2 linked regions of the Oreochromis niloticus genome follow. The protein of the gene in region 1 interacts with the protein of each later gene in a biochemical or structural test. Links are inferred from orthologs where the notes say so. Each region holds a gene or a part of one and is shown on either strand. Other genes may lie near its edges.

Region 1 (15,828 bases):
AAGAGCCAACCACCCCGGAGATGCCAGACCTGAGCTCTGTCACACAGGACATCTGTAAAGTTAGTCTTGTTTTTTCCCATAAAAAGCACATTTGAAACCCATAGGTTTGCTGTTTGCAGATAAATTCATGTTCCATGTTACATAACATTTATAATTTGTGAAATTTCCTCTCGCGCTCTTTCCTCCTATTTTGTAGCTTGTGTCCCAGGCTCAGTTGAAGAAGACAACCATGACAAATGAACACCCACCTGTCAAGCCTGACAAAAAGAAACACAGGTAAACTAAATTGGTTGTGACGAGGGACAGACCCGTTATAAAATAAGAAATATAGATATAGGTGGCAATATTAAATTCATGAACTCTAAATTAGTAGCTTTTATTGTGTGTCCATTCCAAAGTTGCACATCAGGCTGGTGCTCGGTAGCAAAGAAGAATATTAATTTCAAATATTAGATATGAAATATCATTTGTATATATTTTTAATTAATTTTGAACTTTTGTGTTGCTTATTTCTGTCTCTCCTGATGAAATGTGTTAATTTCTTTATTTCACTCAGTTTTATCCATTCTTACATGATGCGTGCCTGCAGTCTTTCTTTCAAAACTTTGATTGTGACATGTCACCTTCCATCCATTCCTCTCCCAGATCTGCAAGTCTGTCTGAAGTGTCAGAGAACGAGTTCCAGAGTTTACCGAGCTACCTGAGACAGATGAGCCTGAACAGCCTCAACCAAACAGTTCACAACATCAACAATTTCATGGCAGAGTATCAAGGTCAGTGTTATATTTGTGCACAGGATCATGGATGAATGCAGCTATTAATTAAACAACTCCGGTTATGGAGGATGGCTGTGCCCTCCGTGACCCTGGTTCTACCAGAGGTTTCGTCCAGTTAAAAGGGAGTTTTTCCTTCCCACTGTTGCCAAGTGCTTCCTTATAGGGGGTCCTCTGATTGTTGGGGTTTTCTCTGTAATATTGCAGGCCTTTACCTTCCAATATAAAATACCTAAAGGCAGCTGTTGTGATTTGGTGCTATCTAAATAAAACAGAATTGAATTAAATAGCTTTGTAACTAAAAGTGGAGGGTCCGTTTGTAACTGTAGCGGAGAAGAATGTAATCATACATTAATGTACTACAGGACACACCACAGTCAAGGTGCACGAGAAACTGAGACTTTGACACAGCAGTTTAAACTTCTCACTGAGGCAGTGGTGTTGATGTTGTGGTCAGTAGTTTAGAAAACACCTGTGATCACACACGGTGGTTTTCAGATTGGCTGCAAACTTGGAGAACAAATTATCTTGCTGGTTTGACTTTTGTTCAGTTGGATTTGATTACTGCAGTTACACTGGACTTCCACAGAGTTCCTCATTAAATCAGAGGAGCGCTTCCTGTTTTAAAAATAGTGTTCAGTAGTTTTCCCTGTTATGCTGAAATCCATCTGTGAATAAAGTTGTCATCCTCTGTTAGTTTGGACTGTTAATTAGCAGCAGAGGGTGCTATTTGCATAAGTAAACAACCAAATGGGAATGAACAGGTCTGTGTTGGCGATGTTTCCCTTGGTTACTCAATGGGAGATCATGTATAATCCACCCCGTTGTAGTTACATGAGAGATTCAAATAATAGATTAAACGTTTAAAAAAACTGAGCTTCTAAAGTAACAAGAAATCTGGATTCACAGAAGCTGCTTTCGGCTGCTCCCTTGTCACAAGCGGGTGCCACAGCGGGTAGCCCCGCCTGTTTGATTTGGCAGTTTTACACCGGATGCCCTTCCTGACAAAACCCCAAAGGCGATTAATGAGAAATTAGGATTCATAAACCTGTCAAATTGTTCCTGATAGCAGCAAGAACTAGCTGTACTGTGTTAAACTTTTAGACGCTTCAGACTGATTACACAATACCATCAGGGAAGCACCTGATCAGACTGAAATCCGAGGATTTGTCCCATTTTTAAAATCAAAGGGTAGGGACATCACATATAATATCTATATCCGACCAAGCCTATCCCGTTTTCATATTTTCCTGTCACATACTCTTACAATAGTAGATGCTCACTTTAAACATGATCAGAGTTTCAAATGATGTTTGTGGTCCCTATAAGCCCAAACGCTCAGGTTTCAAACTGCTGGAAATGCTGTCTTTTCACTTGTGTTTTTCTCATAAGAAAATATCTTTTATCTGCTCATCTAAGGCGCACAGCTCTGTTTGTGAGGAGCATCCCATGAGAAGAAAGTTGGCTTAAAAGGAAGTGGCCTTGGGAAGGATGGTGGTGAAGGAGGGAAGCTAAAACTGCTCCTTTCACTGGATGAACTGTGGGGGCTGCACAAAGGGCCACATTCAGATAAACAGTTATTTAAAGCTGTGAATCATGCAAAGTTAACTTAATGTAGTCCAAAAATAAACATGTCAAGCTGGAAATGGGCATATTAGGTCCCAGCTGAATAGATCTACATCATTTTCTCAAAGTACACACAGTCATATAATGGCTGTATCCACTGTTGTGCCTACAGATAATTGTTTATACTCAGTGCTCAAGATAACAGTATGATATTTGGAAAGTAAACAAGCGATGTTTGTTGTTATTTCTCTGATTGCAGATCTCTTGGTTAAACTGTTTAAGGACATTTGCTACCAGCACCAGGCTGTTCATCTTTATTGTTAGCAGAACAGTCAGTTTGTTTCTTTGCCTGGTTTCATCAGTTTAACATTGATCTGGCTTCAGTGTAGTTTCAGCTACAAAATTACCATCATCAATTACATCATTGTAATTATATACTAAATAAATTTCCTCCAGTTTAAGCTCCCGAAACATTTCAAAAAGCCAGATTTTTACTGACATGGTGTGTTTGTTATTTTAGCGGTATCCCAGCAAATCATGATGCGAACAAGCTCTCGTTTCTCTAATCTGTCCCTTTTCTGTGGCGCCCTCTGCAGGAGAAACAACAGAGTTTCAGATGGAGAAGCTGAAGAAGATCATCAGTGTCGGAACCAAGGCTCCTGTATACATCCTCTGTCTCACAGAGCTCAAGAGGCTGAAGCATGTGAGAGGAGACCGGAACACCTCTGTGTACAGACTGATCACACACATCTAAAGGTTGTCCATCCTTTGGCGCAAATCTAATTTGGACTCATGAAAGCTACAGAGATGTTAAGCACTTAAGCTGCAGGCAAAGATTATCTATCAAGTCAAACAGCAAAGAAAAACATACATTATGAGAAGAGTCCCAACAAATGAACTCAATCAGAGAAAGCAGCTATCCTTTATATTGTATATGGTTTTTGTTTTGATTGTAAATAGTACATGGACCTGTGAGTCAATAATTTGCATTTCCATGGTTGTATGCAATAATATGGAAACTGGCTGTTTAGACAAGTAGTACAGATTCGTATAATACATAAAGATATATATTTAGACAATGTTAGATTAAAGACTTTTATCAGCAGCAAGCTCAGTCTTCTGCAGCGGGAGTATAACACATGACTTGCAGTGACCAATGGGTGTTAATAATTCAGCCACATGAATATGTATTGTCAAACTATAGATGGTTTATCCATTTATCACAGCTCACTTTTAATTGTGCTTACCCATTTGTATAAAGTTAAATAAAATAGCAAATGAGACTGTTAATCAGAAAATCCTGAACTTTTATTGCTCATTGCTGTGATGTGTTACATGTGACTACTACTATCTTGATCTTTAACAAATTGGTAATTGGCTTTTCAAATATAACTAGTGAGTTTTATCTTTGTGCAGTCTAAACACACTTGTATTGAAATAAGCCTCTGTATCACAGTTGTGTGCTGTGGATGAAAGGCAAGTACTGTACTCCAGTTTCAGAGCTGATTAACGCAGAGGGATCTAATAAGCTACAGGTATATTGCATCTGCTTTGTACTGTCTGTGGTTGTTTCCAGTTGTTGTTGTTTGGGTTTTCCTTCTCGAAAATTAAAAAAGAGAAAATTAACCATTTGGAACAAAATTTGTGTGATTACGGGACATTAGCGTTTATGCTTCTCGGCGTGAGTGAAGATCGCACTTCAATGACGTCGTCCCGAGACTGTCCAATCAGAGTGACGAAAGTTAACGGCCGTTGATGACGGAACTACAGTTTTTTTGTCGCCCTCTGGTAGGCCACCATTTTGGGAGTCAAAACACCCAGCAAACTGCAGCGCACACCTCCACGCTTCTCCGTGGCCTTACTATGGTTCACACCTGTGTGGTGGCAGGCTGCAGGAACAGAAGGACACCAGGCACCACCTTATCTTTCTACCGTTTCCCACGGGACCCCGAGAGGAAGCAGCGCTGGATAGCTGCTGTGAACCGAGAGGGCTGGGTGCCGAACGACGGCAGTCGGCTCTGTAGTACTCACTTCATTTCAGGTATGAAGGCAAAACCACTCTGAACCCTAAAAGTGTCTCCCTGTGGGGGGTTTTTTGTTGTTGTTTTTTAAGTAAACCAGTTCGCACTGATGTTGCTGGGCTTCCACGTAGACAATCATGTCTAGAAAACCAAGGAGGCTTCTTTTTAGTTTTTTTGCTGTCAGTGCAGTGTTGCGTTGAAAGGTTGTATGAATTCAGGAGGGACAGCGGCATAGTCGGTGTAACTGCAGCGGGTAATAAACACGTTTATGTTCACTATCACATAGTAAAAACCCTTACTGATTAAAATTACTGGAAAAAGGCGGTGTTTGTAGTTGTAAGCCTTTGAATATTTTTTTTTTTTTTTTTTTTTTTTTTTAAAGCTATACGAAACTAAGTTGAGATGGAAATAAAGTGTGACATTACTGCAATTAATTCAGTTGGGATAGTGTTATAAGTTCCGTTTACTAAATATATGAAAGTAGATGTCGCTAATGCTACGTGCTATTTTAATGCTCGGTTTGTGTTTTGTTTTTATTGTCTGGTGTGTGCAGTCTTTTTATGTGCAAGGTTTTTCATGCTTAAATTTTGTTTGTAGAAGAAAAATTCATTAGGGATGTACTGACTGAACAACAGCAACTGTTTGTTATTTTATGTATTGCACGCTGCAAAATGAGAGAGCACTCTAAATCACAAGTATCATAAACAGATGAATTTTAATCAGATTCTTTTTTCTTTTTTTTCACATGCAGGTAAACAGGTGAAGAATCCACGTTCTCCGGATTATGTTCCTTCTGTGTTCACGGCTGCTCCCTTATGCCCAGAGATGAAGGAGCCGGGTGCTTTAGAGATCTTGGACAAACAGGAAGCACGGGTGGAGGCAGCCAATGCCTTGCTGTTCCTCCAGGGCCAGGGCATGTCTGCGGTGGATGAACAGGGCCAGGAAGAGCATCCTGAGGTGAAGGAACAGGAGACCACTGCAGAGGAGAGTGCCTCCTCCTCCCTCAGCACTGAAGAAGATGATGATGATGACGACGACGACGATGACGACGATGATGATGATGATGATAATGATGATCAGTCTGTGAGTGACAGCAAGAAAGGAAAGTTTGCTCAGACATCTGATGTCCCGGTGAACTTTGATGACATCCTGAAAGCCCTGAAGAGGGAGAATCAGGCCCTCAGGGAGTCTGTGGAGAAAATGTCTCTCTCAGAGAACTCCTTAAGGAATGATGCGGAGAAAGTGAAGTTTTACACTGGTTTACCCAACTACTTTGTCTTAGAGACAGTCATGTGGCTGCTGGCACCTCACATGGATGGAATGAAAAACGTGAAGCTCTCCAAGTTCCAGCAGCTGCTGCTGACACTAATGCGTCTCCGCCTGGACCTCCGCAATCAGGACTTGGCTTACCGCTTTGGCGTGAAAGTCGGCACAGTAACCAGAACAGTTCACCGGATGGTCAACATCATGTCCTCTACTCTGGTGCCAACGGCTGTCTTTTGGCCCTCCAGAGCTGAGCTCCGTAAAAACCTGCCAGCCGCGCTGCGAGCCTCTCATCCTGACTGCGCCGTCATCATAGACTGTTTCACCGTGCCTTTCGAGGACCCGGTCTCTCAGGGGGCGGGGTCAAGTTATAACGTGTTTAAGTATCTGATTGGCGTGGCTCCGCAAGGCGTGGTCACTTTTGTCTCTAGGGGTGTGCTGGGAAACGTCAGTGACAAGAGCCTGGCTGAGGGTTGTGGATTTTTGTGCAAGCTTCTCCCGGGCGATGTCGTACTGGCAAGCCGTGACCTGGACATCGGAGACTCTGTGGCAGCACGTGGAGCCTTGTTTAAAATTGCTGGCAGCTACCAGGGAGAAGCATATGGGAGAACAGAGGGCTCATTGCTGGCTGATCCTTCCTCCGAGACATTGAGCGTGCAGAGGCATGTGGAGAGGGTGATCTCCATGGTAAAGCAGCGGTACGCCATGCTCACGGGCCCTGTCGAGAGCGCCTTCACCGCAGCCTCTGAGCGCACGTCGAACCTCTCAACCTTTGATAAGATTGTGCAAGTTGCCTGTGCCTTAAACAACCTGTGCATCTCTGCTGCTCCACTAGAGTGATGTGTAGACAAACTCCTCGTGCTCCTTTAATGCTGATCAGGCTCTTCAGTTCCCTTTACTGCTTTGGACTGCACTTCTTGCTGTCCCTCTGTGTCTATGTGTCGACACTACATCATGACTACAGCAAATAGATTTATACTTTTCCACTATAATCCTAACTTTCAATCTATGTCACTCCTTGTGATCTGGGTCAGTTTATACTTAGCAATAGGACCATTTCTCCAAATACAGAAACCACATTTCTGAGATGTAATGTCATGAAGTTATGCACCTCCTCTCACAAAGAATGGCCGACTTGCAAGAATTTATTTTGTTTAGGCTTTGGGTGAAAACTGTGAGTAAAACCCTCATGAAATCTGTCTTGATTAGCTATTTGTAAATGCTGAAGTATACACACTGCAGTTTGGGTGATGCGTTTCCACTGATCCCACATCTCTGACTGTTAAGTGTGTCTTTCCCATCCCTGACTGTAGTTACCAGATTACATCGATCTGCTGCAGAGAAGTGGCATGTTGCTTAACCTTTTTTAATTTTTATTTAGTTTTTTGTTGCTTCCCTGCATCTAAATCAGGAAGCGTGCACATAGGAATATGCATAGAAAGAGGTTAAAATAACAGAAATGCCAGACAAAGTAGTACACCTCCTCGGCCCCGGTGTCTCCTCCCAGTTCGGGGTGCAGGGACAGAAGTGTCCTGTGGTTTGTGAAGGAGTACTGGTTCTAAACTCATCTTTTTTTTTGGCATAGTCACATTTTTGTAAGCCAGGTACTTTTTATAGCAAGAGTACAGTCAGCTGCGATGATTAGCTACAAGTTGGCAATTCAAGCACATCTTGGAATGGCAGATGTCTTCAATGTCTTCATCAGCAGGGATTTGCTTGTTTTGCAGGTTTAGACAATAACAATAATAGTAATGATGATGATGAACAGAAAATCAGACTTCAGCTTGAGCTGTATACAGTAATTAACAATGATGTCCATTTTTACTGAGCCACGTGTTTAGGTAATTGTTAATTTCCCCAAAGTAGTTAAAGCTCGTTATTTAATACAAAAAGAATCATCTTTTGTGCTGGTGAAGAAGTAAACATTATTGTGACAGATGCTGACATGCTGTTGAGCCTGAAGAAACACATTGTTAGATGAGTACATCAGCTACATTTAACATGTGGATTCATTCTCACTGGTTTGTCCTCTCCGGTGGGAGACTGTGACAGGCTTTGGTCCATGAGCACGAGCCACAGCAGTAGTTATGGTACAAGGCTGCGGGTTATTTCCAGAAAGGTTACCCAGCAACTGAAATTTTGATCTTTTTAAAGGGTTTGACCTTTCAGTAATGTAGACACACCAACTGGAAAGTTTATACTGATATACAGTATATCTGCATTTTTTTTTTCATTTGAAGAAAACCCGCTCTGAATATTGAATTACATATTTTAGTAGTGCTGCTTTGCTGGTGCCTTAGTTTGTAAAGCTGTTCCAGATCAGCCCATATTTTCTACAGATATTTATTTTGACATCATGCACTATTCTTTGAACTTTTTCCTGGTTTGGTCCCTAAGCCAGATGTGCATGATGAGTCAGCATCTGTAGTCAACAAGGTCTAAATGTGTGTTCCTATTGTTTTGTTGTTTGTTTGTTTTTAAGGTACATCATTCTTGTGTGCTCAACTTTCTGCCAAAACTAATCTAAAGTCACTACACTTATACATATGTTTTCTCCTAAGGTAATTGGTTTGAGGGGCTACAATACAATTGGCTCAGGGCCCAAAAATGAATTGGGAATGCTCCAATAACAAAGACTACACTTAAGTTCAGGTGCTGGGCTTAAACAGGTGATGCTTCATAATCGGTGTTAGGTTCAGAATGTGCCTTCTGTTCTCAGACCCCTGGGTATCCCAGACAACAGATGGGTCTGTCTTTTCTGAGTGGTCATGTTTTGGTTGACTGTGTATTGCTCTGGGGCTTCCATAAGGACATCTAGCCACAATATTTAGTCCACTTGCCTGCTTTTCCCCCCTTCAATTAGCCATGGTGTTTGGCACTGCTGATGCTCTAAACAAACTATAAAAATCAAGTTAATTAGCAGTACTATGGGTTGATATATTTCTTCAGCAGTGCATGTACTTTGGATGAACACATGCTTCCTTTTTTTTTTAAATCAAGTCTTTGACTGAGTAGACTGTATCTGCAGACCTTGCTTGCTCTTTTATGGAGGGAGCGAAAAGCCCCCTTTTTTGACTGATTAAAATAGTCTTACAGTCTGGTTTAAACGGTGTTTGGCCGTTCCTAAAGTAGTGAGTGCCGCTGGAGGACTGTTATCAAGCAAGGCCAAATACCAGTATTAATAGTAGTTAAAAGGCTTTGTGAAATGACTGTTGGTTTATTCTGTCTGTATTTAGTTCTTACATGCATAAGAACAAAGTCAATACTTCCTATTTGATGTTTTTCCTGCTCTAAAATAAGAGCTTCTAGGTTGACATGTATGAAAGAAGTTCATAAACTCATGTTTTTCTCACACTACATTGCTGTTTGACATTATTGTTACGGACGCATGTGCTTCCATGATGTGTAAACTCCTGAAGGTTTCCTGTTTAGTTTCTCTTTTAATATAGCTCCTGTGACTGAAAAAATAAAGTTGTGGAATTGCATCAGCTTACACACTACCCAAGAGTCGCCGTTATGTTTTTCTGTGTGTACGTGTAAAATATTGAAGGTCTGTGTTGTCCTGTGATAACTGACATTATTATAACTTTTTATTTGCTTTCACACTGAGTCATTGGTGAAGACTATTTCCAAGGCCGGAGAGGGGTGACTGAGTAATGTAATGTGCAGATATACTTTATTTATCAAAGGGAAAAATGCTTGGAGGAAGCTCCGCCTGTGAATATTTCAGAGGAAGGAAATCAAGACGTCTCACTCCGTTGCTTTTTGCAGTTACTGCAGCGGTGAAAACGACAGCTCGTCACTACTCGCTATTGCACTACAGCGTAAACTAGAACCCCGCAGTTCTGTTTCTATACTTAACTCGTCTTTAAAATCAAAAGTAAAACTTACTGATGCACTTCAACAAAAAGAGATTTGTACGACGCCGAATACGCAAAAACATTTTTAAGTTTAATTTGTTCGCAAACGGTAACAGCTCCTAGCTAAAACAACGTGAACGGAGTGAACGGCACTCGCCTAATAGACGATCTTCAGGTCCGCTGACGTGCATTGGTCCGTCACGTGACCTGAGGAATGTTAACAATGCAGCGAGTGTCCAACTTTGTGCTGAAGTTCTGATCCTGCCTGGAGTCTGGGGAGAAAATGGAGGCTCATTTCATCATATTTACCCACTGAGCTAGGTGTACGCGCTCAACAACCGAGAACCGGACTCTTTAAAGAAAAAAAAAGTTGCCGTTTAACGGAATTTATTCTCTTCATATTGAGTTTTTCTCGCCACTTCTATCACATGGTAAGTTGAGAGTTGCTTTTTTTGGGAGGGGAGTGGTGGTGGTGTGACTTATTTCCACGACTTGTTGCTGAGCAAAACGTTCCGTTATGGGTGTGTTATACAGCGAGGCTTATGGAAAACGAAATGGAAGTTTCTGTAAGTTTGAGCCTCTTTGGAGCTTACAGGACTGCCTCCATTTTTTTCTCTCCCTGCATTGGAATGTGTTGCTGCTCTCAGCCCCCAACTCAAGCCTGGGATATTGCTGAGAAGGCCCCAGCGCTTTAAAACAGGGCTTTCCGGACCTTTATGCCCATACAAATATCACTGTGTACTAGTTTTAAAGCTTTGGTGCAAATGTGGGAATTCAATTTAAGGGTTTAGTCTATATTTAAATGTTTGTTTATTTGTGTACATTTAAAGTCCATCTTATTTGGGCATCCTAACTTGTGCCTCCTCTGAGGACCACTAACAGTAACAGAAGCTATGCTTTGTAGATGCTGTTAGTCAGAAGATCCTGCATTAATTTCACTGTTTAAAGTGAGTGAACAGATTTGTAGTTAATAAGAACTGAGCTAAATAAAATAGTTCGTAACAGGTCAGAATATTTTTTTAATATTGTATCTGAAAATGAAAATGGAGTCATCTGATTTGAATCTATCATTTTCACTTCTCTCAGGCCCTGCATAGTTTGGCACTGATGCAACAGTGCGTTTCATTCAGGTGTACTGTACCGCATTACTATCCCCAAAACACACTCACCCACTCTCTTTCTTTCTGCTTGACACACTTCTGTCTGTCAAGACAGTTCAGCGCTTTGATTAGTTCAGCAGTGACAGCAGACCTGGGTGATGCAAACCAAAGTCACATGTTTTAAAGGGACGCTTGATGCTCCTGCCAGTCTGTCCTGTAGCGGGGGCGGGGGGTCACATTTTCAAACAATCACACCAGTTTCACTCAGACTAGGGTGGCGCGGCAGTGTGGTGTCATGCACGTCAGAGGTATCTGTCAAAGAGGAACCACTGGGATACAAACAGATGCTTTGGTGGTGATGTTGTCAACACAGTGGATTGTAAGAAGCATGCAGGGATTATTACATGTTATTACTACTACCATATTTGTTTTAAAGGGACAAATGTAAAAAAGTGGGCTACATGCACACAAAAACAATCTAGATGGGTAGATGACTCCAAAGGCTACAGGGAAAACATATCGGTTTGATTTTGGGGTTGAGCTGCAGTGCATCAGATACACACAGAAAGAGCCAAATTGTTTCCCTCTTATACACACACACTTGCACTCTCACAGCTGCAGCCAGTTTCCATCAACTGTTGTCTCTGCCTGCACATTTGTGATGTGTCCTGCAACATTAACTGAGTTGGTCCCACCCACCTCTACCCCCTGTCTTACTCCACCCAAAGCTTAGTTGTTGGCCAGCTTTGCCCATTAGGAAGTTGTGTTCTTTCCTCCACCTCCGCCTCCTCTTGCTTCGCAATTTCCCAAACACAGCAGAGATATGACCGTCCACATTCTCTCAGATCCTTCAGGCAGGTTAGAGGCAATCTTATTAGTATTAACCTGCCAGCTGCTCGCGTTGCTCAGTATTCTGTGGGGTTCAATGTTGCAGAATGCATGCTTTCCCAATTTAGCATCACAGTGGGCAGCTTTGTTTTTGGTGAGACCGAAAACAAAGCTGTGGTATAGTGTGCTAAAGTTTGTTATGAACAACACATGTCCACGAAGAGAAACATGCGTTTAAAGTGTCACATGTGCCATTAAAAGTCAAAAAGTCAAAAAAAGTTATTTTACCAAAAAGAGATTAGAACATTGTCAGTGGTCTGTTTTGTTAAAGTGGATATTTGAGGAATTGATGAAAAAATATTTATGTCGCAGGTTATTTCACTAGTTTTCCTCAGTACCTGTTGGTGTAGCATGAAGTTTAAGTCATCTTAGGTTTAGGGTTAGGTCAAAGAAGGAGTAAGGTTCAGTGATGGGGGTGGTTATGTGTAGAGCATTGTTTTGGGCAGAGTCATGTCTTTTTTTTTCTTGCAGATTTGTAGTTATAGACAGATACTGTCCGTGTAGTTTGTGTTTTGGGTTATTTTGGTCAGCGTACTGCCCCGTGATTGAGCTGCGGTATTTTACTTGTACTTACTTGTGGAATGGAATGCTCATTGCTTGGACACGGCGCCTGAAGCATCGCAGGAATGGAGGCAAGAGATCCCGGAGATGGGGCAACATTTATGGAGCTTGGCCCCATGTTACCCCACCACCCAGCAGTGTAAAAAGAAAAAGCATGTTTTTGTCTATGCAAAGTTTAATCTGTACAAACAGTGAAGGCTGTGTCCTCCTGAAATGGCCCAAAGGGATGGAGACTGCTAGAGAGGAGGAGCAGGAGAAGGAGGAGATTGGGGATGCAGTTCAAGAGCTTTTTATGTTTGGAAGCTTTTTCCTCTGCAGCTGCTTGGTAGTAGCGCTGAGGGATATAAGATTAAGATAATATTGTTAAGAATGTATTTTTAATTATCTAAATATAGAATATCACAGCACTGGGTGGATTCTGTTTGGCATTGCCTAAGACCAAAACTTGACTTGTAAATTTTAGTTTTGGCGTGTTTTCTTTTGAAGGTATTCTTTTGTACCTCCGCACAGACACACGGGAGTCTCTGGGATAGTGTAAGAATTCAGTATGTTGCATCACCATCACTTCAAAGTTTTCAGACTATATTACTTTATCAGTGAATCAAAGCTGTGGCACATTTGAAATTGATGGAAACATCTGGATGTTTAATTTGGTATATTTGTAGCTGCTTTTAAAGATCTCTGTTGGCAGCTATAGTAAGTACAAAAAAAAGTTGTGGTCATGATATCTCAGAGACAAATGTTAATGGTTTTTGAGGAGGAAAAAATTAGAATCCACCCAATGCTCAACTGACTACTTTTAGACATTAAATAAAACATTCTAGGTTGTTAAAAAAGATGTATGCCAAACTGGGGGGGGATGCTCTGGGAATACTACCGCGATCCTCAGATAACATCAGCCGGGGAAACTTGTAGTAAATCAGCTCAACCAGAAAACTCCAAAAATCCGATACTGGACATACTTAGCTATCTGCTATCTGCTAATTGAGAACAAACACATGACTCAGTCATGAGTAAAAATAGGATGTAACCTTCTTGAATCTACAAAATAAAATTAAAAAACATAAACAAAAATAGGTGGCCGCCTGGTAATTGTGGGTTGTTTTACATTCTGTGGCTGGTTTTAAAAAACACAAATATATAATAATAATAGTAATAACTAATTTTGATAACTTTTCATCTTACTGGATAAAAACCATATTGACAACATTTAACTTGGAGGACATAATTGAATTTGAAAAAAGATGATAAATCATTGTATATGTTACTGCAATACTCAAACCAAATAAGTAAGTATTGTAGGATGTCTGGCGATTCGCACCTAAACTCTGTCTATGCTTAAATTTGAGGGTAGAATTATGATGTCACTGATTTGTCCGTCAGAATAAAAAGCAATTTTGTCGCCCTTTTTTTGTTAAATTTGAAGTAGTTGTGCGGCTAGCATAATGATTCACATTTAGAAAGCACACAAACAGCAGCTCTTCTTGTGATGTAATGTTGTTACGAGCTCATAATAACTCACCAACAGTGACACGTTCTGCTCTGTGTCCGTGTCTGTTGACTGTAATAGTACGATGACCTGCTGATCTCCTTGGTCTGTGGGAGGAGAAATAATCACTGGTCTTGGTCAGACTGCTGCAGAAAGTCGCTTTTTTTTTTTTTCCTCAATCCATCATGCTGTACGTTATATAATGAAAGCCCTTAGGTATTTGTTAATACGTAAGCATGCGGTGAACATAACTCATTCCTTGTTTATGCATATAGACAGGAAGGTTATCTGCAGCTTCTCTTCATGTCTGTGTAGATCAAGTACAGAAAATGTTCTCATAGACAAAATAGCTATTTTATTTAGGCAAAGAGGAAAATTGCCCATAAGTAATTTTTCCTTTTTAGGATAATTGTCAGGTGTAATTCAATACCTGCCAAGAAGACTTTTTGAAATAGAACCCAATCAATTGAAAGATGATTGCTTCACAAAATGGTTGGAATTGCAGACATGAGTTTAAAACCACAGCCATGTTGAAACCTGCCAGAAGAGGATTGTATCTAGCAGTTTTTCAGTGCTGGTGAGATTGGTATCTGGAGACCTGGCATTACTTCTGTAAAACTATTTGAAGCCTGTGAGCTTCTCAGTTAGACAGGAAACCCAGCTGCCTGTCAGCTTCAGGGTCTCTCCTCTGCAGAGGTAATGCTATGCCAAGTAAGGCGAGATTTACTCAAGTGGAACCAAAAGAAAAGAAAGACCGAGACAAACACATTCAAGTTCATTAACTTTTAACGGTTTGATTTGATATATAAGCTGTTAACTCAACTGACACGGTTCATAAATTGACTAATGTGAGACATAAGTATCATATTAATCAAATCTAGTATTGCCAAATGGTCTTGACCTCTTTAATATGATCCAAGTCAGGTCTACTGTGCTATTATACAGTATTTGTGATTAGATGAGAAGCTTGTAAAGTTGAGGCTCCGGACAGAAAGCCCATCTGCACTGGCGGAGTAACCTTCTTGCGGAGGATGTTCTTCTAGATAAGATTGTCAGACAGTGTCATATGTCAGATCACAGAGGAGCATAAAAGGCAGAGGCGCTGATGCAGGGAGGGTCGGACATTTGTGTTGACCCCATGCTGGGGTTCCGTGCTCTCAGATGGGTGTTTACCGATGACCAAGTATCAGAGACATGCGTTGACAGGGGCTGAATTGTGCAATCATAGCTATGCATTGATGGGGTGCAGGTGGTGTTTTTTGACCTCTAGCATTCCTGGATTATGCATAAAAGTATGTGAGAGTACATATGCAGTGCTGATCGTCAATTTGACCTCCAAAAGGTCTAACCGGGTCCATGAGGATTACTTCACTTTATATTGGTGCAGAACATCTTACTTTTGTGTGGTATCTTGTGATCTCACATGTTTCTAAAGTTGTTGACAGTTTTTTACTGTATGTGCTTTTATTTTTAGAAAATCTAGATAAAATTGAATGGGATATGGAAGCCCAGTCTTCATGCTCTAACTTCATTTCTCCACCCACAGGCGCAGATTGGCATCATCATCGTTTGGCTCCACGATGCCCTTGTGACCAGCTGCATTTCCTGGAATAAGCTGGAACCTGAGCCTTGAAAATCACACCATGTAATGCCTATAGTATTCCTGCCTCACCTTCATCCACCGCAGCGGGAGCAGGAATCAAAAGCAGAAAGCGAGATAGAAAAAAATTAGGGACATAGAGTAGGGATCATAAAACCTGTGCCTCCAATCTGTGCTCTTGGAGGCTTTTTATCTATTTAGGTCAGCAAGCTTGAAGGGAATCTTTTGGAGGGTTGTAGGGCAGCGAGTGCCAGTTTGTGTGTGTGAGTGTGTGCTTGTGTGTGCGTGTTTCCCTTTTTAGAGTAGGTGCCTGCCCTGGGCACTGTGGCCATGAGGCCCAAGACTTTCCCCGCAGCCCCGTATGTGGGAAACACACGGCAGAGGCTTCAAGAGATCAAGGAGGGCCTGAAGCAGCCGGCCAAGCTGGTGAGCCAGGCTTTACATGGCAGTAGCTCCAGGAATGAGGGAGGCAAAGGGGCAGACTCCAAGAGCGGGAAAGACACAACCAGCCGACAGCAGCAGCTCAGACCCCCGCAGAAGTTCAACAACTACCAGAATGCGCTGCGGGAAATCCGCAAGTCCCTCAAGCCCTTTGAGTCCGGCTCAACCTCCGGATCAGGACACCCAGCAGGCGCTGGGGAGGTAAACCGGCAGATGCTGCAGGAGTTGGTGAACGCTGGTTGTGACAAGGTGAGTTTTAGAGATAG
Region 2 (15,741 bases), on another chromosome or scaffold:
CTAGGCACTTAGGATTCTTTTGTGACTGATGTTACGATATTACAGATGTGGACAGTAGCAAACCAAGATCCTTCTATGTTAAAATAAACCAAGAATATCCAGTTATTTATCACACCACCCTATGATACTGCATCTCTGCTTAAACACTACTCTCGTCTGTGATGGAGCTGGAACCTAATAGTATGTTCCCTTAAAATTAAGTGGGATGAAAACAAAACATCTTTGCAGTCAGGTAGAAAATTAATAAACATATATCTATCTTATCCTAAAGTAAGCCATGATAGAATATAAGGGTTTTTTTGTGGGTTTTTTTCATACAGCTAATGTTAATCTGTGGTTTGCTCAATTAACTTAATCCCTGATAGCATTAGTCCTGGTGCCTTTAACCTAACAACACCCTTCCTTCTTCCTGGCCTTATTAAAAACATTTCCCCAAATGGAAATAGTACATACTGCATACATATAGCCAGGGTGGGGGTGGGTGGGTATCTGTGCAAAAACTAGAAGAACAATAAAATAAGGATTACATGGCTGTTTATCTATCCTTGGTTGTCAGTTTTTCAATCAGCTCCTGTAGTGGGACCAGCTCTTTCCTGTCAATGAGGTTGAACTCCTGTTAAAGACAAAAGAAAAAAAGAAACATTACCCCATGACTCAACACGTTACAGCCCTTGTTAGCAACATGCCACATTAGTCAGATGTCAGGGATTCTTTACCTGAACAAAGAAGATGAAGTGTTTGAACGACGTGTTGAGGTGGGCCTCCTCTTGCAGCTGCATGACGGAGTCAAAGTGCTGGTGGTAGATGTGGGCGTAGACCCTGAACAGACGCTTCAGAATGGTCTTTGCCACAGACATAAAATTACGCTTAAAGGGCACGCCTTGGGAACAAAAGAAAGAGAAGGAAGCTGGTTAGAAAAAACACCAGACAGCTCGACGTGCAGCTACATTATAGTCTGCCTGTGAAAATGATCCAGTCTACACAGGCAGGCCACAGCATGATCTCGGGGAAGCTCAAGCAGTCATGAAAGCAACACAGCAACACCTCACGTTCACAGTATTTATCTGCAGTGCAGAAAGTTTGCTAGTTTCAACACTAAACTAAACTGCTGCAGATCACAGAGGCTTCTACAGAGAGCATCCTACCGTACAAGTCAACATCTGGATGAAGACACCAGCACGAGTAAATTAAAGCTTCAGATGCTGAACAACTGAATGCACGCTTACTGAGCCTTGAATTGATTTTAACAAGTGTGCAATGGGTTCTTCATCACAACACACACCTCCGAAGAACCTTGAAGATGTTGGCAGGCTTTGAGGTTGAATCTGCCCAAGTGAACAACAGATCATGGGCAATGGAGTGAATTGTGTACCTCCAGGGCAGCACATTCACCACTTCTACTGACATGTACTGGGTCTATCAGACTGGCTGCTGGCTGCCATTCAATAGCAATAAAACTCCACCTTAGACTGCACACGCCACAACTAGTTATGAGGCTGATAACTGCGTAAGTATGCAAATGCTACTACTTAACAATCCTGTAGAATGATCTCTTAATGTGTTAGGTTATTATATGAAATTGATAAGACAAATGCACCGCTACATTTAAATTAGGAAAATTTGCAAAAGTTTACATTTCTGCTAAGTTCATCATTTCTGTTACATACATTTTGCATGGGAGATGGATTTCTCTGGTAATAAAAATGGCTGTGTACGCATTCTGGATCTCCACACACCTAATTGTTTGATGTACAGCATGTGCATTAAAAGATAACTTTTCTTTGGAGGTAAAGGCTGGTAGAAACGACAGAGTGAATCATACCAATCTTTGAAGGGAAAAGCGTCTCATCATCCAGCTGGTCTTGCACCCAGGTCATGAGGTAATCAATATACTTGGGAGCAGAGCATTTGATGGGCTTCTTGATGTTGGTTCCATCAGCCCAGTGGTACTCATACCTACAGGAAATAAAGATGAAAAACACACTTTGAGCACATTTATACCAAGAGGAATTTTTGGCTCACTCAAAAGAGAAGGAAGAAAATCCCGAGTGTTATAACAAAAGCTTAATTGAGCATAATGAATATTCATGTTTTTCAAATTCTCAGAAATAGGAGAAAAATGATTTATGTGAAGGCTTTGTGCTTTTGCATAGCATCTGATGAACACATAATCATGTGTTTTGTTTGTTAATAGGTGGATCTTTAAAGGTAAACTTCTGTATATTAAATGAAAGGTCTGTTATTGTGTGATTGTTTTATTAGTCCAGCCCAGCTGAGATCAAACTGGGCTGCATGTGGATCAGTAACTACAAGCACTAATCATGCTCTTGTGAGAGTATTCCCAAGCAGGAGGCCCATTCTGAGCAAGGAAAACCCCTGTTATGGTCTCCATCTGGGCTTATTCAACACTGATGTAATCAATTGTAAAGCAAAGTGGTATTTCTCAATAAGCAGATAATATACAAGTCGTCCTGGTATGAGTAAGGGCTCATGCTAGTAACCAAACATTTTCTAATAGGCGTTTTTTCCTTTGTAGAAGTAAATCTAACTTTTTATCAGCACATAAAAGACATCTGCTGCAAATCTACACAGTGAGACAGCAGGAGGGCAAAACAAAAAGATCTACGTCACAGGGTGTTTACAATTATGAAGACAAGTCCATTTTCCAAATCCTGACCCTGCTCAGTCTCATCATACAACAAAGACTGGAGAATAGCCAGTGGGCTAGTTTTATGAGTTTTAATCACTTACTTAGGACCAGCAGACATTACTGGACAGCTTTCCTCAGTGCAAAAATCTGTGATGGTGCCATACAGCATGTTGATCTGGTTGAAGAAATCCACAGCTGGAAAAATGCGAAAAAAAGAAAACTATTAAAATGGTGTTTATGCAGCTTGTTTTCATTCCTGGTGCATCACACACTCCTGTGTTAGTGATTTGCAGAAGGCTTCATTTCACCTCTGCTCTGTAGTTATGTAGTTATGGTAATAGTGAACTAACCACTCACTTGTCCACACTAAACACACTTGATACCCCTAAATATAATTTTCAGTGTCTAAACTTAACCAGCATGTAACAGTTGGAGGCAAAAGACTGAAAACAGAGCAAAACACAAAACCCCCACTTGGTCAAACAGTGTGGGGACTACCTTGGTGTTAAGACACAGGCCATGTCCACACTCATATGTTTTCGCTTGAAAACGCATCTTTTTCTCTCCATTTTGGCCTTCCGTCCACACTGAGACGGCATTTGCGGTCAAGGAAAATGCAGCGTTTTGAAAACGCTCTCCAAAGCGGATACATTTGAAAATGCTGTTTTAGCGCCGCAGTGTGGACAACAAACCCAGAGCCTTTTCGAAAACGATGACACATTTTAGTCATGTGATGCAGTTATGTGACCAATTAAACTAAGATAGCGGAGGGCATTATACAGCAGTTGTTTTGATTAATATCAGTTTGTACATGCTCCAGATAGCTTTTCTTCAAATTCTTTCATTCTCACTCGCTTTTGCAACTTTGTACTTTTGTGTTACTCGCAGCAACAACTCCATCTCATTGTTAGTCCATTTAAAAAACTTTGCTTTTCCTCGACATTTTGCCGCGACGTTTCAAAGAGCCAGAAAGCAAATAAACGGCAGACAGAAATGAGGCAGGTCGAATCCTCTTGCGTTGCAAATACCAAAGGACACTTTCACACCTCTTTCAGCAATGTTTGTACTACTCCCCCCTTTCATTACTTTTAACACTATATTCTTCTGTTCCCACAATGTTTCCAGCCTTTAGGTGATGGTACTATTAGTATTAATATTATTTTTTGGGTGGAAAAATTTGCAGGAATAGTTATAAATTGGGCACCAATAGCGCGTCAGTGAAAAGGGTTACTTGAGGACATTTCTAATTCTGCAAGGACAATATTAGCTAACAGAAAGGCAGTTTCTGGCCCTGGAGATGAAAAAGTGTTGCTATATGACACCAACTGTAGTGTTTGCCAGCACCAATTGCTGGCATCAGATTACCCCACAGCACTGTGCCTGTCCCTATTTCACCGCCCAGGCCAAACTGTAGACCAGTGCACAGTCCAGTTATCTGGCACAAACTGTGCTACCACTCATTCCCAGGGGCATACAGCCAACTTTGGCTTTCCATCAGTTGGGGAGATCCATTTTAAGCACTGGCAGCATTTGAGTTGAGAGTGTAACTTAAAAATCTCATTGAAAAACAAAACTAAACAAAACAAACATACTGTCCAGTTGTCATGGCATGTGGTTTGTCAGGTTCACTTTGAGATTCCTTTAAAAACAAGAATCTGTCCAATCATAGTTGATAGAATATTTTTGTATGCTGTTAAACAAAGACAAAAGATCAAATTACTGTTTATGCCACCAAACATACTGATGTGATTACAGTCTAGAAATGAATATTCCAGTGAGAGAAAGCAGAATTATCTTAATGATAGAAAACAGACTGAAAATTCAGAAGCCAAAATCCAAACAGTCTGGGGAATACCTGATGCTAAGCTCTAATTGATGAACCTTACAAACCCTTTTTCTTTTTTCATTCATAAAGCTAATAAGAACCCTAAAATAATGTAACAGTCAGTGATAAAAAAACCCCCCATCTCTTCCTGTGGTCCTTTATTTTCCAGTAATCCTGTTTCACCCTCTTTATTTTCGCTCTGCATTGCTTCATTGTGTCACAATGAAGCAGTTTGAGGGGGGAAATCCTAGCAAAGATTTCAATGTAATGCTTGGGTGAGGCAAAACTGCATTGCATTTCCTCGTCCCACTTGAAGACTCAATAAAGACAACTTCACTGTCAACTCATTTCTCCATGCATGGTTCCACTTTTAGGGCTAATGTGGAGAGTTGCTGTTGCAAAAGTTTGACCAACATTAGCGCTTTTCTGTCCACGTTGTTGTTACTCACTGTTCCGCTTATGCTTGGAAAAGGTCTCAAAAGGATCCTAAAAATCCATTTGTAAGTGAGGTCACTGGAGAAGAGAGTGTACTGATGGGTATCCAGCTAGACAATTGGTTAAGATGCCTGTCAGATTACTACCCCAAGTTCAGTTGTACCTGGAGACCTTTGCTGCATGCCCGTAACTTCTCCCTCTACTGTCACTATCCATCCATTCATCCATCTGGGGTAGAACAGCTGTCACAGGACTGTGTTGCAATCCAGTACAAGCAAAACAATCTTAAAAACATGAAGTGGACTGCTTCTCGTGAACACAGATCATGTGAAAAGTCATTTGTACTTGGTGGTGGGAGAAGTGATTGCTCACAGCACTTTTATTCTGACTTCCCTTCATTGTGCAAGTTGTAACAGCTTGTGCAATACTAGCCAACCTTGCTTCTAACCTCTGAATCTGGAGAGCACAAATATCAGACGAGTGCAGCAGCGGTGGCAATTCTTAGACGCAGTTAACAAAGCTAGAAATTGGGCACGCCCAAAAATGTTTTGTTAACAAAGCGTCTGACAGACAATCACGCGTTAAAAGGCTGGGCTAGTGATCGTCTCCAACCCTGAAGGCTTTTTGACGCATGAGGAATTAAGCATCCACTGACCATTTGTTTCCTTTTAGAGGAAAGTAAACAAGGCGCTCACAGCGCAGACAATAAAGTCTATTTAACATTCACGGTAGCTGCTCTGGCATGAATGCACGTGGCCTTTGGAAGCAATGCCAAAGACAGCCTGACAGTTCGCTCTCAACCAACTCATGATTTGGACTAATTAAGTGTCAGAAACAAGACTTAAGAGATATAAAAACAAATTTTAAAGTGTGCCGAGCCCCTTTAGCCAGGAATCTAAACCTAAAATAAAAGCGTGTATCAAGAGAGAAGAAAAATAAATAAAACTCAGTGCTTACTGTTGACTGCGACCCACTCATTTAAGTCTTCACCCTCAGGCAACATGACTGCCATGCGCAGGTTTCCACTCCCCAGAGTAGCCTCTGCATGTTTCAGCAGCTCATACTGATGAGAACCCTCCGGGATGTTCTTCTTGGGCTTGAATGTTTTGGATGAACGATTTCCACTGTGTGAGTCACACATAAAACAGGAAGACAAAAAGTAGAATAAATCAAAAGACAGAAAGATATGATGAGAAATCATGAGGTCACCAAACACTAATGTGAGGTGACTTTTAAAACAAAAAGTTATGACTTTGTTAAAGAGATGTCAAAGGGAGCTCAAGTTTGGTTTGGGTTTAGCAGAATGTAAGTGGGTGTGCGTGAACAGTGTGGCCTCTCTCTGTATAATGAGGCTATTTGTAGAGGTACTGTATTCAGCTGATCTCACTGCCCCATTAAACAAGAATTTGTGAGTTCTCACAGTATGGTGGGTTGGACACACAAAATAAATGTTTAATTGGAGAATCCGTTAATGGCGAGATCAGATCCAAAATATCCTGTAGCATTTCTATAGTGTTTCTGTAATTCAAAATAAGTATCTGCTATTATCAGTATATTGTTGTTCTTCATCAACTACTTCCTTCTAGCCTACCCATATATATCAAGTACACAAAAAGAAATATTACAATAACAAATCTAGACCTCATCTTCTTCAATCTAACTACATACTGTCACAGTAGGTGTGTCTGATGTTTCTCAGCTTAACTGAAACAAACATTATTTTAATCGCTGGCTAATATCGACGTCATATTGTGGTGTTACTTTGATGAAACAGCTGCGTTTAGCGGTAGCAGGGCTGTGTTAGATTAGCCGGTGGCATCCAAGTGTTTATACCAGCAAATATCCAAGCCACAATCAAAACCCTCCATCTCTGTTGAGGCAATTTGTCAATGGATCTGTTCTAAGCAGGTGAAATTTCTCATTTGGTCAACTGTAACCACTAGCCTTAAAGTACTGATGAATATGCGATTAGTATTGATGACAGTTTTTAAAATGAAAGCTACAGAAAGCAATGCGAATTACACAGAGCAGTCCGAGGTACATCCAGGAAGTAGTCTAAGCCGTTGAAACGCTACGGCTAGCTAACTTTCTAGCTGTTGCAGCAAAGCTGGCATTTTCCAAACACGAAGCTAAATGGCAAGACAAAATACGCGTGTATCGAACGGTTGTAACTCACAAAAGAAAGCTCATGTTTCCTCAGGTCGCCGAAAAAATTCCCTTCTTGGCAAACAGATAATAAAAGCAGAGTAAAGGCAGCCCAAAAGGATTGCCAAAAACTCTAAAGCTTCACACTTCCTCGGTTCTTCTCTGGCTTAGTTGTGCGGTCCTTGTTAAACATCCGAAATAAATATTAATGTAACAGAAATAACTACCCACTAATTTAAAAAGGGGAGAAACAAATGTATTTTATACACAGAGCGATCCACTAGCTGCTGTACGCTGGGAGGCAGCAGCGTACTGACTGCAATACTCACTTCTTCATCTAACCTTGAAGGCAGAGCAGACGCAGCTCTACTGTGTGCTGCCATCTAGTGTAGCAAATGGGTTAGAACTACTGTTCTTTCCTTCGAATAGGAACATTTTAAGCAAAAACGTTGGCTACGTTTTATATATTATATTGAAAAATAAAGTATATATATTTTTATTTTTATTTTTAATGTTTTTTTTAAATTATTCATTCACTGATATTTTATAATAGCCTAGGCTACATGTTTCTGTTTTTTACTGCGATTCAAAAATGCCAATTTAAGTGGTGCTGCTTGCTAAGTTAAAATTACAGGGTAAATGCTGCTGAATTTGTTCGATAAAAAATATAGCCCGAAGATGGAGCTGTTTTCTTGAAATATAAAATGGAAAATTTCATAGCCAATGTCACGAGCTGTGCTGCCTTCATTTCTGTTGGAAATATAAGAGAAGCTTTGGCATTTCCCAGATTTTTCAGTATATTTTTCCTCTTGCAGCTTCTCCTTACCTTCTCTGAACAAAGGACAAACCCATTTTGTCTTCAATAAAAAGACTAAATAGATATATCTAAACATGTTTGGCCAGAGTCCTTCTAGATATCCTCCTACTGTAAATAAGCATCTTTTGTTTGATTATTTGGCTTAAAATAAAACTTGTCGCGCACTAGGACCCGCCAGCTCGGTGTCAGCTGACGATGCAGCCAGTTATATGCAACGCCAGACCGTAGCCCGAAGCTTTTTTCAGCTTGTTGGGAGAAATCGGGTCCACTCTCCGTGTCAGGCCCATGTCTGAAAACCCAGACAGACGGTCACATTTCAGCAGAAAGTCAACTGCACAGGTCGGCAAAGAAGAAACGGGTAAAAGCTTTTTTTAAAAAAAATCCGAAATTACTTCGCCTCGTAGGGAGACAGCATTAGTTCGATGACAAGTCCTCTGTGTGAGCTTATGTTATTTCTTTATCCGCAGCAGCAAGATGGAGTGTGAGTGGAAACCAGACGAGCAAGGACTTCAACAAATTTTACAGCTGCTGAAGGAGTCTCAGTCGCCTGATACGTCCACACAGAGATCCGTCCAGCAAGTATCCTTTTGTCTTGAGCCGGATATGGATGATAACTTATCTGTTATAATCTGTTAGTGGTTTAATAACAAAACAGACTCAACAGGCTAACGACAGCTAATACTAGCCGGGGTGGTTACGGTTACAAGCAGGTACGCTCGTGCCTTTTTTGTCTCACTTGCACGCGCTGCAAACGGAACAGGTCGTGCTAACATCATCTGACATTAAAAGTGCCATAAATTATCTTGCTTGGTTAATACAAGCAACGGTAAAGCTTGTAATTGCTCCTCCTATATACCTTCCCTTTTCATATTGCTTCTGCAGAACATCACAATAAAACATATTTAAAGCCCCGGTATATCATCTGCAACTTGATAAAGCTAAGGTTACCGGAGACATGCTGATGTTAATAATTTAAGTAGACATCAGAATTAGATATAATGATGTAAAGGTGATGGTGTTAATGGTGACAGAAAAGCCCCCCCCCCCCCCCCCCAACATCTGTCCGTGCCTTGCATGTATCATGGTATGTAAAGCACGAAATTGCTGGATTTTACTAGTGCAACAGCACTAGTAAAATCTCCTATTCTAAAACAGAAGTTTAATGGAGTGGATGGCTGGGTTAAACCTGGAATAAGACGCCATGGTTATTCAAGCTTTTTCGCTGTGACACTTTATTCTATGTCACTTTTCCAAAGGATGCCAGGGATTATCAAACAAACCCGTATTAAGGTGACCTCTTCCGGCTAGATTAAATGGCAAGGACTAAAGTGTAGGTTTAACATGTAAGTGCATTATTAGCTTTCCTCTGTAGCTCATGCACTGTATTGTCAGCTGCAACTGTGCTCCAGTGTTGTGTGCATGTGACTGCCTGCTTTTACATTGGAGAGCAATTATCATCTGCCTCTCCGTGCTGCTGGGCCTTATGGTTTTGTCTGGTTTCATGCTGATCCTTAATAATTTTCTTATGTAACCCTTCATATGGACTGTCTCATTAACTCATAGACTAGCTGCTGTTATAGCCCTAAAGATGCCATCTGCCAGTACAGTCATGCCAAATGACACATTTATGACCCCCTTACAAGCGTACACCCAGTCCACTCACACACACTGACATACACTCACATCATTATGCTGTTACATTACACCACTCCTCTTCTTTATATGAGGAGGAGGGGAAAAAAAATCTGTTTTTGGCTTTATTGTTATTATAAAATTACAGAATGCAGTGGTGATGTCCTAGCAGCCTTTTAACATGCTCTTCGAACATTTGTAACCCTTAATCATTTCTCTCAGAGACTTGAGCAGCTGAATCAGTATCCAGACTTTAACAACTATTTGATATTTGTTTTGACAAAGTTAAAATCGGAAGGTAAGCTGTCCACCCTTCTCCTTCGCTCTGTCATTTTGTTGTGTCTGTGGTGTGTTCCTAGATTATCTAATGGCACCCGGGCAGCACGGGTGAATGTCAGAGCTGTCGTTTTTATGTAACTGCTCATTGACAGGTTAGTCCGGCCGCGACTCGGGTGACCTGATGGCATGTTTGCTGCAAATGATGTGCCACACAGAATATGGGTCACTCTAATTTTAAAGCTAAATCCTGGCACTGCTCAACTTTTGGCTTGACTGTTCCGCACAGCAGATGACCCAAATGTTAAGTGGTGTTAAGACCTTTTCGGTTGCATGACTACCTTACCCTAGATGCAACAAGTCACAAGTGTTTAAAGAAAATTAGCAGAATTTATTTAATTTATTACTTACGCATTTTAAGCAAACAGTAAAATAGATTCTGTCCACATTGTCAGTATAAATGTCTGAACATAATTTCTGTAATGCTCTGCTTGCGAAAAATGAAAGGGAAGCAATTTTCACATTTCCTCCCTTGGCCTTTTCTCTCCCAAGATGAACCGACCCGGTCCTTGAGTGGACTGATACTGAAGAACAATGTGAAAGCTCACTATCAGAACTTCCCTAATGGCGTGTCTGATTTCATCAAGAGTGAGTGCCTCCAAAACATCGGAGATTCATCTCCTCTTATTCGGGCCACTGTTGGTAAGTCTCATCCTCTCGGTCTTCTGATTGTAATGTCGCCCTTAGCATCCATGCATAGCTTTTATGTTTAAATGTTTTCTTTTGTTATCTACGTTGCATTGTTGTACCTGTAAATAACTTCCTTATTTGCTTAAACTACATGCTGACATATTGAACCTACAGGTCAATATATTGGGAACATAATCAGCATTTGGAGACAAAGCAGGGAAATAAATAACAATGAATATTTACACAACAGTTTATTATTGGTTGTGATGGTTGTATATTATTTACACTAATTAAACCGGTGAAACTGTTTTGGGATAGCAGCTAATTTATTTTCTTATTTTTAGGGATATGATTATGTTTTTAGTATGAAATTAATCTGCTTTTCTGTGTTGTTTATATTTCTTTATTTATCCAGTGGTCAGAAATCTATGAAAAAATCCCTAGAAATAAACAGCCCTACTCCTGCAGGGCGTAACCCTAACCCTCTCTCCATTCTTAACCCCTCCCACCAAATTAGCATGGACGCATAGACTTGCTGTCAAAAGCGTGCTATTGCTGACTTTTGACTTCAGGGACTCAAAGTTTGCTCTCCCAGATTTTCACCCCTGCTCGCCTAATCTGGCCTAACGGACCTGTAACTGGCTCAGATTGTAAAGCCTGAAAACAGAGCGCAGTGATCTCTCAGACCTTGTCAGTTGCAATATGATTGAAGGCTACTGTGAAATTCTTTTTAATCTATTTCTTTTTAATCCAGTGAGAGCAAAACCCTACCCTGGCTTTAAATGCCTCTAAATAGTCTTTCTTAACTCAGTGGGCTACTGTATCAGAATGTTAAAGGCCAGCTTTTAAATGCTGGTTTGCTCCCAAGCGTTCCCTGCTATTATTGCAGAATCCTGATATTTACATTTGCATAATTAGGAGTCGTCCAGCTGTTTAAGCTAACTTGAAGCTATTTATTTGCTGCATTTCTGTTGCTTCTGTTCACATGGATTATAAACAGAAGTGCTTTATAATATTAAATGTCTGCGTTTCATTATGTCCTGTGCATGTTATTGGATTTTGGTTTAATCATCTAACAGAGCCCCCTCTGATAACAGGTATCCTCATCACTACAATTGCCTCCAAGGGAGAGCTACAAAATTGGCCTGAGCTGTTACCCAAACTCTGCCTGCTGCTGGATTCTGAGGATTACAACACATGTGAAGTGAGGACAAACAAATCAGAAGCTTATAAATTAATTTCTTTTAGTCACTAAGCTGATGTTTTCTGGTGGCGTCACAAATGTGTTGATATGGGTGAAAGATGTGAAAACTATTTCTTAAGGGTTTTACAGATGATGTTTCCTGTAATAATCCACTAACACCGTGTTTCCACAGAAATTTATGTACTAATCCAATTACAACTGAGCAAGCTATACTTAACCAGGAAATCACTTAGATCAGTTCAACAGCTCTTAAAAATCTAAAGTTATCTTGTAACAGACTACATCATACAAATACAAGGTGACTCTAAAATCTTCTGCCGTAATCAAAAATATGAGATTGATTTTAATAAAATGTCTTCTGACAAAACTGACTTGGTTAAGATGGACCCAAATGTTGCAGCTGAGTAGCCATGATGTATTCATGTTTCAGTCACTCTGTAGCACATAAATAGTGCTCCACAGGAAAGTGTCAAAATTCAACATTTCATTACTAAAAAAAATCCCCAAAAGTACAACAGTACCGAACCAGCTTAAAGAATCCAACATGAAATGTAATGGGCTCAGCATTAATATGGCAGCAGCTATTACTTTGCTTGATATGGACATGACGCTAAAGTCATTTTGTAATATTATCATCTGCCAACGACTCCGATTTCTTCCTCTTTAATTACTGTGCTTTCAACTCATCAGAAGTTTAACAAAAGCATGTGTGTGAGTGTGAGAATGAGAGGCAGCTTTTTGCCATGGCTGTGTTGGGGATGGGTGGGGAGTGCTGAGATTAAGCGTGCACACATTTCTGACTGTATATTACAGCCCATGTGTGCTGTAATAAAGCATGTTTCCCTGTCTGGGCACACAGACAGTTGTGCGTGTACTGTTTATTTGTTTATTAATTAATTTATTGTGGAAAGAAAAGCTGGCTCGGCTATAAAGCAGCATCTGGATAGTATCCTGCTGGCCAGATGAGCTAAAGACATTCTCACAGCTGGAGCAGCCGCTGCAGACTACAGATTATTCAGCTCTGACTCATTTATTCTCTCTTTTTTGATCATCATCCAAATATGCTTTGATTTTCAAACCACCAACATGCTGTTGGGTCATATTTCATCTTTACAGGCCACCATGATCCACTCTTTGTTTTTTAATATCTTAAATTTTTCTGTGCTCGTTCTTCTAAATGCTCCATTGCAGCAGCCACGAAAATGACAGCACAGTCATTTGTTGTGGCTGTTAGATCATCTGATTTGTGTAACCATACTCAGGCTCGCATAAACTCCCAGGTCATTAGTATTCTGTCAGCTGGACTTGTTCATGACATCAGAATTAATAAATTAAATGGCATGTTGAAGTGTCGTGGTAAATTCAGCTGTGTCATAGGGCAATTAAAATACATGGTGACAGGATTATTACTTGTCAATGTGATTTGAAGTAATTTAAGGAATAGGTGTGACATAAAAAAATAAATCTCTGTGTAGCACCGCTGCCAGCCTCTCTTGTAAAGCTTGCTCAGAAGCTAAGATTTAGGTCAGGTAGTTGCTGCAGACCATCTTGAAGTGTATGTGTGCGTGAAAGAGGCTTAACACTCAAGCAACCAAATGTAGAAACTCCTTATAAGACCAGCTATGTTTTCGAAAAGAAGCTTGAGGGTTGGAAAGCTTCTTAATGTTTCTTGTTAAAAATGGTCAAGTTGCTGCACTGTGAATAACTAGGAAGCAAACAAATAGTCATTACTATATCTCTTTCCTCCAAAAGCACAACATTTGATGGCCTCCCCTCTAACCTTAATGATGACTTTTGACACCTCAGTATATATCAATGAAGATGTGGTTTGACAACCATTAGAATAGTTTCCAGGTTTTTCCAAGTTTAGCTGCATCAGCAGAGACCATCCCCACCAACTTCTAATGCACAGTTATTTTACATTTTATATAAGCAGGCCTGAAATATGATACAAACTGCTCAATTCAGAAAATGGCTTGTAGGCTTTCAAGAGGTAAAGAGATATTACATTAGTGTGGGTATTGACTTTGAATTTCACATTTGGTGCCTCTCTTTTTCCTTTTTGTTTTGTCATGTATGGTGGAGGCCCATATTTAATTCAGCCAAAGTTTGACATGAAAACCTCAGTGTAGCCAGTCAGAAGAGATGCTGTCATACATATGTCAGGATGTCAGTGGGGCAGTTTGAGCTCTTGTTGGCAGAGTTGAGACCACATTTGAAGATCATTTCAGAGAACCGTGGCCCAGACCAGCATCGAGCTGTGTGTCTGAGGTAAAATTGGATTATTTTACTATTTCGACATCGTTGTATATTTAGTTTAGTGCACTGTTTTTTTTAACTACGAATGCAGTTGTTTCTAAATTAATTGCTCTGATTGGTCAGATCTGTTTATTTCCATAGAAAATATATGAAAAATCAAGCTTGATTCAGGGGGGAAATGAAGGTTTAAAATTTGTCTGCGATATTACGCAGTCGGTGTGAAGGGCTGCATGTAAAAATAGGCAAGTCCAAAAAATATTAACACACTAAATATTTGCCCGAATTGTATACATCTGGTGTGTAAAGAGTTTTAGTGTGAAATAGATGGGGACTATTGGGAAAAGTGAATCAGCTAGTCTAGAGTCCAAGATTTAAATATTGAGCTGAAATTGAGTAAATTAGTACACGTAGTCAGTTTTTCTTATTGTTGTCGCTGATGTTGATGTTGTTGTTGTAGTATCTGGCAGCTTCTTCGTTTTAGAAGAGAGCTGTTTCTACTCTTGATTTGCCATATAGAACTGAGCATTCACTGCCTTCCCAAAATAATGTACTATTTCTATCAGCATGACTTTGATATCTATTTTGGGAATATATTTAGTGACTGCCAGTGTTCAGTTTCCGATCTGTAATCTACACTTTGAGAAACGTGTAAATGCATGTTGGCCTTGGGCCATTTGATCAATATATGTTGTGCATTTACAGTATCTGTGCAAGATGATCCTCGTGACTCTCCCAGTGAATCATCCTCCCTCTGATTGCTCAACAGTCCCACGCTGAGACATAATGTCTGCTGACGCTGTGTATAAAGACAAGCTTCTGTACGTGGTGAAACTGCAGCATGCAGTTTTTAGCTTTAAATCCTCTGTTCTCAAGTAATGATGTCACTGCTTTTTTTTTTTTTTTTTTCTTTCATTTAAGCTTAGTGTGCACATAACATAACGCAGGAAAATCAAAACAGACGTCCATTTTGGTAACACAAGGAACTGCTGCCCTACCAGTGAGTCCTGCCTTGTTTGTGGTTTAAGACGAGTGGTTGCTGGAAGAGCTCCTCGTGTCACCACGCTGTGCCCTTCTCTACATGCTCTATATAAAGAAACAAGCAGGTGTGTCGGATGCCAAGTTTAATGCTGGTGGACAGCTTAATATAGGTTATGCCTGTGTTTTTGATTAATGGAGGTTGACAAGTGGCTATAACGGTGTTCATGCCACTCGAAGGGGAAAACGATCACCTATGATAATGCTCTGCTACCTCAGCGCTCATTTGTGCCATTATTCACATTTCAAGGACAGGATTCTGAAGGAGCCTCTTAGTCGACTACGTGTGTATTATTATTTTTTCTTCTTTGCCCTGGCTCACAGTCATCTACGTGACTTGCATTCTCACAGTGAACGACCTTCAGTAGCAGGACTTGAAAGGAAGATTACACTTTAGATGCTTGTATATCATTGAAACGCTTGCAGGCCACTCCCATTCCTTTGCACTTCCCTCTTGACACACACAAATGCCTGTATTATGTTTTGACGTCACTGTGTGCAGTGCTGGAGCGCAGTTGTGCGTAATATGAAACATTTGTTTGGGTTCCCACGCAGGTTTGCAACCAGCAATTGCGTTATCAGTTAATCTGGTCATTATTCTTGATTTAGTCGTGATGGGTGTTAACATATCATGCCTTGCCAACATTTAAACCCCAGTGATCTTGAGTAAATATGGATAGCAGGAAAAAAGGAACACATCTTTCTTCTAAATAGCTCATTAGTAACCCAGTCATGTTTTTCAACATTAAGATAAATCTGACATTTTTGGGGCT

The links.
Region 2: the proteins of lats2 (region 1) and MOB kinase activator 1B form a complex in vitro, tested with the Homo sapiens proteins (2 studies listed by BioGRID). The link is inferred for Oreochromis niloticus from reciprocal best matches to the Homo sapiens genes LATS2 and MOB1B.

Annotation. Positions count from the first base shown.
Region 1 is NC_031987.2:27,635,774-27,651,601, reverse strand, and holds the start of lats2 (serine/threonine-protein kinase LATS2), read left to right. Parts: upstream 1-9,685; 5' UTR 9,686-9,914; intron 9,915-15,067; 5' UTR 15,068-15,451; coding exon 15,452-15,811; intron 15,812-15,828. Other genes in the region: ska3 (SKA complex subunit 3), read left to right, coding at 1-59, 197-276, 646-773, 2,936-3,093; uncharacterized protein LOC102075830, read left to right, coding at 4,095-4,380, 5,112-6,463. UniProt on the Homo sapiens protein: Negative regulator of YAP1 in the Hippo signaling pathway that plays a pivotal role in organ size control and tumor suppression by restricting proliferation and promoting apoptosis.
Region 2 is NC_031972.2:13,998,659-14,014,399, forward strand, and holds the start of MOB kinase activator 1B, read right to left. Parts: upstream 7,390-15,741; 5' UTR 7,101-7,389; coding exon 7,087-7,100; intron 6,035-7,086; coding exon 5,868-6,034; intron 2,846-5,867; coding exon 2,752-2,845; intron 1,957-2,751; coding exon 1,823-1,956; intron 881-1,822; coding exon 717-880; intron 614-716; coding exon 536-613; 3' UTR 1-535. Other genes in the region: tnpo1 (transportin-1), read left to right, coding at 8,347-8,451, 9,727-9,802, 10,333-10,482, 11,568-11,674. UniProt on the Homo sapiens protein: Activator of LATS1/2 in the Hippo signaling pathway which plays a pivotal role in organ size control and tumor suppression by restricting proliferation and promoting apoptosis.